Linked DNA regions of Saccharomyces cerevisiae S288C. Changing the gene in region 2 together with the main gene of any one other region gives a genetic interaction. Each region holds a gene or a part of one and is shown on either strand. Other genes may lie near its edges. The genes, in order: INA17, SEC53 and KHA1.

Region 1 (3,057 bases), on a different chromosome or scaffold from region 2:
GACTTCTTTAGCCAATAAAGTTTGGCCATAACGTAGACTGGGTGATTTGATATGCGTTTCCACAATTTTTTTGATTTCACTTGAGTTTAAAAACGTAAAGATCTTCAAGAACTTGGGTACATCAGCATCCAAAGTATTATAAAAGAACTGGTAAACATCATACGCCGTATTGATTGAGGGGTCAATAAAAACAGCATTGCCTGCACTTTTCCCAAATTTCTCTCCTGTAGCCGTCGTCAACAAGGGCACAGTGATACCAAATGGCAAACCCTTATTCTTTATAGGCTGTATCCTATTGATGAGATCGATACCGGCTGTTATATTTCCCCATTGGTCGTTACCACCTACTTGTATAGTCACATTCTCTTCCTTATACAAATGGTAAAAATCGTACGCTTGTAAAACTTGGTAAGTAAATTCGTTAAATCCCAGACCATTTTTGGTTTGAAGCCTCGAAGAAATTGAATCCCTCGCCAACATAGATTGTACCCGAATGTGCCTACCAAAATCAGCTAAGAAATCCAACATTTTGATGTCTTTCCACCAGTTGAAATTATTCCTTGGTGTATATTTTCCGGAAGGTACATCTTCAGTGAGAGCACATCGGTTTCTGTAATATTCTAGGCCATTTTTGAAAAACCTTTGTAATTGCTGCGAGATGGATGCCACATTGCTTTGCCTAATATCGTTCTCCATAACGTCTCTTTCTGTTTTCCTACCACTTGGGTCCCCAACTTTCCCTGTAGCTCCACCTATCACAGTGACAATGTCGTGACCTTTTACGTAAAAGTGTAATAAAACCATTAGTGGAACTAGATTTCCCAAATGAAGTGACTGAGCTGTGGGATCCACCCCGCAGTATAATTTGATCTTATCGTTACCGTTCAACTTCGTCCGAAGGAAACTCTCTGGCTGTGAGACCTGGGACACTAGACCCCTTTGTTTGAGTTCGTCTAAAATATTATCGCTTCGAGAATCCGATGTGCCCTGTACTTCTAAAGCACTAGGCTGTGAATAAAATCGAGATTTAGGCAATGTTATTGCACTTAGTCCGGAATAAGTCACCAGAGGCACAAGTCTCCTACTACTATTGACCAAATTACTACAACTTCGTAATTCGAGCATGATTCACAATGTCTACCTGTAGATTGCTGTGTTCAATCGGAAACTGGAAATTCTTTCTTAACATTATGAGCCAACCACTTTTTATTTTCTTTTCAAAACTCCCGAACAAGACCAACATTACCAAACAGACTCCACTACTTTTCCATAAGAAGGAAGCACAGAACACCACACAAGATCATATAGCACAAATAGCGCAACAGCTTCAAGTCCAATATTAAGATATAATGCCTCCTCTTCCACAAAATTATGCGCAACAGCAGCCTTCGAATTGGGACAAATTCAAAATGGGGTTGATGATGGGTACTACCGTCGGTGTCTGCACAGGCATCCTATTTGGTGGATTTGCCATCGCAACTCAAGGCCCAGGTCCTGATGGTGTAGTTAGAACACTAGGGAAATACATTGCTGGTTCAGCGGGTACCTTTGGGCTATTTATGTCCATCGGGTCTATAATCAGAAGTGATAGTGAAAGTAGTCCAATGTCCCATCCTAACCTGAACCTACAGCAACAGGCAAGACTGGAAATGTGGAAGCTTCGTGCCAAATACGGTATACGTAAGGACTGAGGGGGAAATTTTGCATATATTTACGCTTCCCCATCGTTTTCTTAAACATTGTTACTTATCTGCTTATTTTTATTTAAGATATCTATCTACCTGTTTATAACTCTCTCAATACCATGTATTTAAGTTCATCACGACGAGGCTTATTTACTTAATATATTTGTATACGTGGGAAATGTCTAATATGTATACCGGTTTGCATCTTATTTTGGGTGGGGTCACTAACGGCAAGACTCATAAAATAAAGTATTCGCTAAGCACTCTGTTATATTTGTAAACTTTGAGAAAGGAAATGGGAACCAAAGCATATAATAGACAATATGTTAAAAAGACGCTCTAATGCTCTCATTACTTTGAGTAGAACTAAATTGTTTCCCATAACAACCGTTGCCTATTACCACAGGCGCCTCCTCAACCAACAACGAAGAGCTGTTTCAACGTCACCGAAGAAAGAAATCAAGAGCCTAGAAGACTTGGCTAATTTGGATTCTTTGGATGGTGTTGATACTGAACTGATACGCGATTTGATTAATGAGCATACTACAAAATTAAATATCAAAAAGGAGTTAGATATGCTCAAAAAATTCTCGCAAGAGGAAGAATCAGGACATGAGATCCCTGTAAAAAGATTTATTAGGCCTCTTTGGATGTTCATTCTAATGGGATCTTCCGTTTATTTACTGCTTCACTTCTCTTGGTGGAAACTAGAGCATGAGGAGAGAGAAAGTCAGCTAAAGAAAGAGGTAGAAATCCTGGAACACCAATTAAATGAGTTAATTGTACAGGATAAAACCCACAATACTAGTAGGGGAAAGGGCAGTAATGAATCAACACATATGAAGCCTTGGTATAGGAGATGGTTTTGGTGAGAATTAGTTATCTTGTTGGCTTTTCGTGTTTCTAGAATGTACCATTGCCTATGTAAATATTTTCAAATTGCTTGTTTTGAAGATTTCTACCCTCTTTAGCAATTCACACGTGAATACGTACAATATCTATTAAGATTATGAAAACTGCACATATGCATTATGTAAATTTATTATTTTTAGTCAGCACACATTCACCAGGTTTTGACGGAATACTATATATACTGAAGGTTCCATCATCAGAGGCAATATAGACTTGGTTGGGAAATTCGTCTGGAAACCCTAAGCAACTCCTGTTCGATTCATTAACTGTTATATAAGCAAAGTTACGGCTCAGGTTCTGGTTTGGTATTGAAGATTTTATTTTTTTCGAGAAGTAATTCGCAATTCTTGGTTTCGAGAGAGGTATTTCCTTTGGAGTTCCCATACTGGGATTTGAATTTGATGCTAGTATATATTCCTCTTCATTCCAGTGGCCATTGCTAGAATTATCTCCAGGGAGG
Region 2 (3,085 bases):
AGCTATCAACAACGTGTTGATTTTGCAAAGTTAAGAGATCAGCTATTGAGTGCTGATAGAAGTGAATTTCACAATATTCAAAACGAGTACGAAAGTGTGAAAAACGATCTGGAGAAACTAAGAAACAAACTAAGGGAAGAAATTACCAAAACAAACGCCGGTTTCAAACTTGATCTGTCCTTAGAAAAAGGCAGAATTAGGGAAGAAAGTAGTCATCACGATCTGCAAATAAAAGAAATCGACACCAAAATTGAGCAAGAAGTGACCAATATGAAGATGCAGATTGATTCTGTCAAGACTCAAGTCATGCAATGGCTGATAGGTGTCTGTACAGGTACATTTGCACTTGTATTAGCATATATGAGGTTATTAACATAGTGGCGACAAGCGAGGAAAAAGGGCTAGACTTGGTACTTGAAAATTGCATTTACGTTTTGTATAACACAGTTCAGTAAGAGTACACATTCAATAACGTAGTAAGAGTATATTTATTTATATAAGAAGGATAAAAAAGAATCACCAAACGGATCACAAATGGCATAATCACGTAGCAACCTGGAAATAAAGCTATAAGTTGAATAGTTCAGTCAAAATTTTGACGGTGTCATCAGGGGATTGTACTGAATGTCCGATGGTTCTTTCATCGACAAAAATTTCGTAATCGTTACCACCGACCATAGTCTTGTCACCAAAGAAATGAATTTCCTTGAAACCATCTTTTTCAACGTGTTGCAAACAGTAGGTCTTATCCCAACCAGCGGGGAAAACGTCGAAAGAGATTTGGCCACCAATGGAGAAAGTCAAACCGTAGTCTGGGAATTCCTTTTTCAAAGCTTCAACGAACTTGGCTCTGATTTGGTGTTCCTTATCGTATCTTTCGAATTCGTTTCTTTCCTCAGTAGAAGCATTTCTACCAATTGGGGAAACGTTGATCATACCATTTCTAAATTCCAAGAAAGTACCTCTTCTCTTTGGCAAGTCAATTTCAGATAGATATCTCAAAATGAAGACGGCCAATTTATTGTATTTTTCCTCACCGAGCCAGTTGATGAAGGATTGAGAAGCTAATTCCTTACCTAATCTGTAGGCGGTCAAACCATTTTCAGAGAAAGAATAGTCAAATTCATCTAAAACGTTTGGGCCTAACTGTTCTAATTGCTTGCTTAAGTCAGAACCACCGACAAAACCAATGCAGCACTTGTTTCTCAACTTGGCCAAAGTTTTTCTAACTTCTTCAGAAACAGTTAATCTGGCTGGTGTCAAGGTACCATCAACATCGAATAAAACCAAAGTTTCTGGTTTTTCCTTGTAAGCGAATTCAGCGATACTCATTATTGGTGGTTATATTAGCAGATAGGTAAAAAAGGAGAAAGAAGTACTAAGGAAATTGTCGATTTAGTTTTCGTCAAAGATCTTATACTTTGCCAAGAAGAATAGACGATATAAACAGAAAAATAAGTGAAAAGAACACGTAAAAAACGGCACATTTTAATATATTTCAAATTTTTTTTTCATCAACGACAAAAGGAATGCATTTTATCCACTTTTCGTGTCTCATGACGAGTATACCGATAAACGCCAAATGCGTATTTTATTATCTATTTTGGCCAAAATCAACGTGTCCCGTGGATTCAGCGTGCCTAGCAACTTCTCTTTCACCCACAAAGGTCATTTGGCAAGTGTTGCATTTGATCTGGGCCTTATGAGTGTTGAAGGAATAGCCAGTTTGCTTCAAATTTGAGGCCAGTTGCAAAGCTGCTGTTAGAACATCATCTGATTCCGGCTGGTTCTTGTTGAAAACAGTTTTAAACTCGTTCATGGTCAAGGAATCATAGTGGATTCCGTTGAACAGTATCAAAATGTAGTTGTCGAACTTGTCCTCGTTGAACTTTTCGATTTTAACAGCGTCAATGTCGACTACATAAATAGCTACTGCGAGTGCATCGGATATGATACCAATCTCGATGGCTCCACCCCAAGATTCCATTTTCAAAATCCATTGCGCGTAATCTTTGTTAGGTTTGTCCAATATGGCGTCATTGAACTTGACGGGGTTGTTGAGGACCTCCTTAGAGACCATCTCCCTGAGGTCACGAACGCTATCTTGTTTGAAGATGCCATAGGCAATAGCATGGAACAGACACGAGTTGTCGTCGAGAACAGGATGTACTGATAGGACGTTTTCTCCACTGCCACCAATTGACATCTCAGTGCTCTTCAGCACCCTCTTTGGTTTGGGTTGTGGTGGTGGCAAACTGAAGCTTTCGTTACTATCAGAGGACTCTATTGTAATCTTTTCACCAGAGTTAATACCCAGCTCGTCCAGCTGGGTTTGTCCCAAAGAAGCGTCTTCCCCTTGCAAATTGATCCTTTGAGGCGGATATCCAAACCTCATCGTCTTAACATCTACATTGATATGCTCAATAAGATCATTTAGTGTTGCATCTTGCTTCAAAGTAACGACTTGGTTGATTCCTGCTCCAGTAACTTTCAGTTTCATCTTGAAAGTTTCTTCTCTTGGTTATCTTCTTCAATGTTATCTTGTTTTCAAAGGAAAAAGTTGTTATTTGCCACTGAAATCGGCTTATTTCGCCCTTTACTATTAGTTACTACCATTGCCCTATAGAAACGATATATATTGGTACGAAGAAAATACAGATCACAACTTCAGTTCTACCAATTGCAGCTTCACCAGTTGATGTAATGAGACAGCAATTGAACGTATGTAGAACAGATTAAACAATAGCAAAACGACCACAATCAAGTATAAGAACAACCATGTTTCCATGGTGACCTTGAGACCTTGCTGCTCTGCAATTGCGGGAGCCGTAACAACCGCTTCTCTTGGTTGTTCAAGGTCAACCTCTTTCAACTTATTTTTTACTTCTTTATCATCTTGCTCCTCTTCCTCCTTGCTGATAGTAATTTGGCACTCTTCGACATTGTTCTTGATGAACTTGGAAAGAATACGCTCCATTAATTGCGCAGCCTCCAATTGACCATTCTTGCATCCATTTTCAACCATACCTTTGATCCAACTGGAACCAGTCCATTCCACCCAAAAGGATACCCGTAACAGACACGT
Region 3 (3,763 bases), on a different chromosome or scaffold from region 2:
AGTTCTGGTCTATATTTGGTATGCACCATTATTTTAACAATACATTTTATTGGATATAAATTAGGAAAATATCCTCCAACGTTCAACCTTTTGCCCAATGAAAGAAGTATCATGGCATACACTGTACTATTGTCTTTATGGTTGATTTGGGGTGCGGGTATGTTTAGCGGTTTATTGCACATCACTTACGGAAATGCATTATATTTCTGCACGGTATCATTATTAACCGTGGGACTAGGTGACATCCTGCCCAAGTCGGTTGGCGCCAAAATCATGGTTTTAATCTTTTCGCTATCTGGTGTTGTCTTGATGGGTTTAATAGTGTTTATGACAAGATCCATCATTCAAAAGTCCTCTGGCCCAATTTTCTTTTTCCACAGAGTTGAAAAAGGCAGGTCCAAATCGTGGAAACATTATATGGATAGTAGTAAAAATTTATCTGAAAGGGAAGCGTTCGACTTAATGAAGTGTATCCGACAAACGGCCTCAAGGAAGCAGCATTGGTTTTCTTTGTCGGTGACTATTGCAATTTTCATGGCTTTTTGGTTATTGGGAGCTCTTGTATTCAAATTCGCAGAAAATTGGTCGTACTTCAATTGTATTTACTTTTGTTTCTTGTGCTTATTAACCATTGGATACGGAGACTATGCTCCAAGGACTGGTGCAGGCCGTGCTTTTTTTGTGATTTGGGCGTTGGGAGCCGTGCCATTAATGGGGGCTATCCTATCTACAGTCGGTGATCTGTTGTTTGACATTTCCACTTCTCTGGATATTAAGATCGGTGAATCATTCAATAATAAAGTCAAGTCCATCGTTTTTAATGGGCGTCAAAGAGCACTTTCCTTTATGGTGAACACTGGAGAAATTTTCGAAGAATCTGACACAGCTGATGGTGATCTGGAAGAAAATACAACGAGCTCACAATCCAGTCAAATTTCTGAATTCAACGATAATAATTCAGAAGAGAATGATTCTGGAGTGACATCCCCTCCTGCAAGCCTGCAAGAATCATTTTCTTCATTATCAAAAGCATCTAGCCCAGAGGGAATACTTCCTCTAGAATATGTTTCTTCTGCTGAATATGCACTACAGGACTCGGGGACCTGTAATTTAAGGAACTTGCAAGAGCTACTTAAAGCCGTCAAAAAACTACATCGGATATGTCTGGCGGATAAAGATTACACACTTAGTTTTTCCGACTGGTCGTACATTCATAAACTACATTTGAGGAACATTACAGATATTGAGGAGTACACACGCGGACCCGAATTTTGGATATCACCTGATACGCCCCTCAAGTTCCCGTTAAATGAACCTCATTTTGCTTTTATGATGCTTTTCAAGAACATAGAAGAATTAGTTGGTAATCTAGTAGAAGACGAAGAGCTTTATAAAGTTATAAGCAAAAGAAAATTTTTGGGTGAGCATAGAAAGACACTTTGATATACAAACACCCGAAGCATTGATTTATATCTTACTGTAGACTACTACGGATGTATTCTCTAAATATTTATATTCAGCATCTCAAAATAAATACTGAAAGCATTTTTCTGCTGTAAATGCGCTTTCAATATTATGCACCCGTTGCGTCTCGCATTAATGTGGCTGAGCTCCAGTAAGGGAAAATAAAAAACAAAAACTGTTCGCTTATTATATCATCTCTTGTTGCTAAAGCACACATCAAATGATACCAACGATTATTATTATTACGAAGTTGTATTATTTATATTCTATCAAATGGCAAACACTGTAGGAGGAATTCTGTCGGGTGTAAATCCGTTCCACTACAACTCCAGTTCGCCGCTTACATTATTTCTCTTTCAAGCATGTCTCATACTACTGGTATGCAATTTAATTCACATTCCCTTTTCAATGATGAGGCAGCCTAAAGTCATTTCAGAAGTTATATCTGGTGTTATTTTGGGGCCTACTATATTTGGTCAAATTCCAAACTATACAAACACAATTTTCCCTACATCATCGATCCCGGGGCTAAATTTAGTGGCGAATTTGGGAATAATACTGTTTATGTTTTTTTTAGGTTTAGAAGTGGATATTGCTTTCATCAAGAAACACCTAAAGAAAGCACTCGTGATAGGTATAGTCACTTTAGCAGTGCCATTCGGTTTTGGTTGTCTGCTGGCGATTCCTTTATTTCACACTTATGCAAACAAAACAGAAGGCGAAAGGCATATTAAATTCTCTGTCTTCATGGTATTTATAGCTGTTTCCATCTCCGTTACGGCTTTTCCAGTTTTATGTCGTATTTTAAATGAATTGCGCTTGATCAAGGATAGAGCAGGTATCGTTGTCCTTGCGGCGGGTATCATTAACGATATAATGGGATGGATTTTGTTAGCATTAAGTATTATTCTTTCTAGTGCAGAAGGGAGCCCTGTCAATACCGTTTATATTCTGCTTATCACGTTTGCATGGTTTTTGATTTATTTCTTTCCCTTAAAATACCTATTAAGATGGGTGCTCATAAGGACCCATGAATTGGACAGAAGCAAGCCTTCACCGTTGGCAACGATGTGCATTCTATTCATCATGTTCATTTCTGCTTATTTTACGGATATTATTGGAGTTCATCCTATTTTTGGCGCCTTCATTGCTGGCTTAGTAGTTCCTAGAGATGATCACTACGTTGTTAAATTAACAGAAAGGATGGAAGATATTCCTAACATTGTTTTCATTCCAATCTACTTTGCTGTTGCAGGATTAAATGTCGATTTGACTCTATTAAATGAGGGAAGAGATTGGGGCTATGTTTTCGCCACAATCGGCATCGCCATTTTCACCAAAATTATTTCAGGTACTCTTACAGCTAAACTTACTGGCTTATTTTGGAGAGAAGCCACTGCAGCCGGTGTTTTGATGTCATGCAAAGGTATCGTTGAAATCGTTGTCTTAACTGTTGGTTTGAATGCGGGCATTATCAGTAGAAAAATATTTGGTATGTTTGTGTTGATGGCATTAGTTTCTACTTTTGTCACTACTCCTCTGACTCAGCTTGTTTACCCAGATTCATACCGGGATGGTGTTCGCAAATCCTTATCTACACCTGCAGAAGATGATGGTGCAGCAGATGGTCTCGATTCTGAGGGTGTGGACAAGACTGAAATTAACACTCAACTTAATTCATTGGCAGATGTTAGCAAATATAGAATTGGTGAACTGACCACGGTGATAAACACTACAGAAGCGATCTCTCCATCTCTAAAGCTGCTAAATTACCTGTCTTTAGGGGTATCTCCCAAGCCTAAGAATAATAAACATAAGAACGAAACCTCCTTGAGCAGAATGACAACAGCTACTGATTCCACATTGAAATCTAACACATTCAAAATAAAAAAGATGGTTCATATCTGGTCTAAAAGCGTTGACGATGTGGATACCAATTTAAGTGTTATAGATGAAAAATTGACCCCGTTTGAGGGAGTCGGTGCATTGAGGGCCATTCATTTACGATTGCTCACTGAACGGACAACTGATCTGCTGCAATCATCTTCTCTATATAATGATGATCCCCACTTTACCGCAAATACAGATTCACTATTACAAATTTTTGATATATTTTCAAACCTGAGCAAAATACCATTTTCAAGTGAAGTCATATTTTCTACAATGCGTGAAAAGGCAGCTAATATAGCGACGATGAAAATGGATTCCACAGATCTGATCTTATTGCCATTAAAAGGGGCCTCGTATGAGTATAGAGGGAGCCCAGTCTTCATTGATGAAAAATACGCAAACTTTGATC

Evidence for each region.
Region 1: mutations in SEC53 (region 2) and INA17 together harm fitness more than expected from each alone (negative genetic interaction), as found in Saccharomyces cerevisiae (one large-scale study listed by BioGRID).
Region 3: mutations in SEC53 (region 2) and KHA1 together harm fitness more than expected from each alone (negative genetic interaction), as found in Saccharomyces cerevisiae (2 studies listed by BioGRID).

What each region holds. Positions count from the first base shown.
Region 1 is NC_001148.4:363,020-366,076, reverse strand, and holds INA17 (Ina17p), read left to right. Parts: upstream 1-2,008; coding exon 2,009-2,557; downstream 2,558-3,057. Other genes in the region: tyrosine--tRNA ligase MSY1, read right to left, coding at 1-1,125; MGR2 (Mgr2p), read left to right, coding at 1,350-1,691; ATG21 (Atg21p), read right to left, coding at 2,715-3,057. UniProt on the Saccharomyces cerevisiae protein: Component of the INA complex (INAC) that promotes the biogenesis of mitochondrial F(1)F(0)-ATP synthase. INAC facilitates the assembly of the peripheral stalk and promotes the assembly of the catalytic F(1)-domain with the membrane-embedded F(0)-domain.
Region 2 is NC_001138.5:43,061-46,145, forward strand, and holds SEC53 (phosphomannomutase SEC53), read right to left. Parts: upstream 1,333-3,085; coding exon 568-1,332; downstream 1-567. Other genes in the region: FMP32 (Fmp32p), read left to right, coding at 1-378; ubiquitin-specific protease OTU1, read right to left, coding at 1,595-2,500; LAM5 (Lam5p), read right to left, coding at 2,660-3,085. UniProt on the Saccharomyces cerevisiae protein: Involved in the synthesis of the GDP-mannose and dolichol-phosphate-mannose required for a number of critical mannosyl transfer reactions such as folding and glycosylation of secretory proteins in the ER lumen.
Region 3 is NC_001142.9:252,417-256,179, reverse strand, and holds the start of KHA1 (Kha1p), read left to right. Parts: upstream 1-1,737; coding exon 1,738-3,763. Other genes in the region: TOK1 (Tok1p), read left to right, coding at 1-1,443. UniProt on the Saccharomyces cerevisiae protein: Potassium-proton antiport.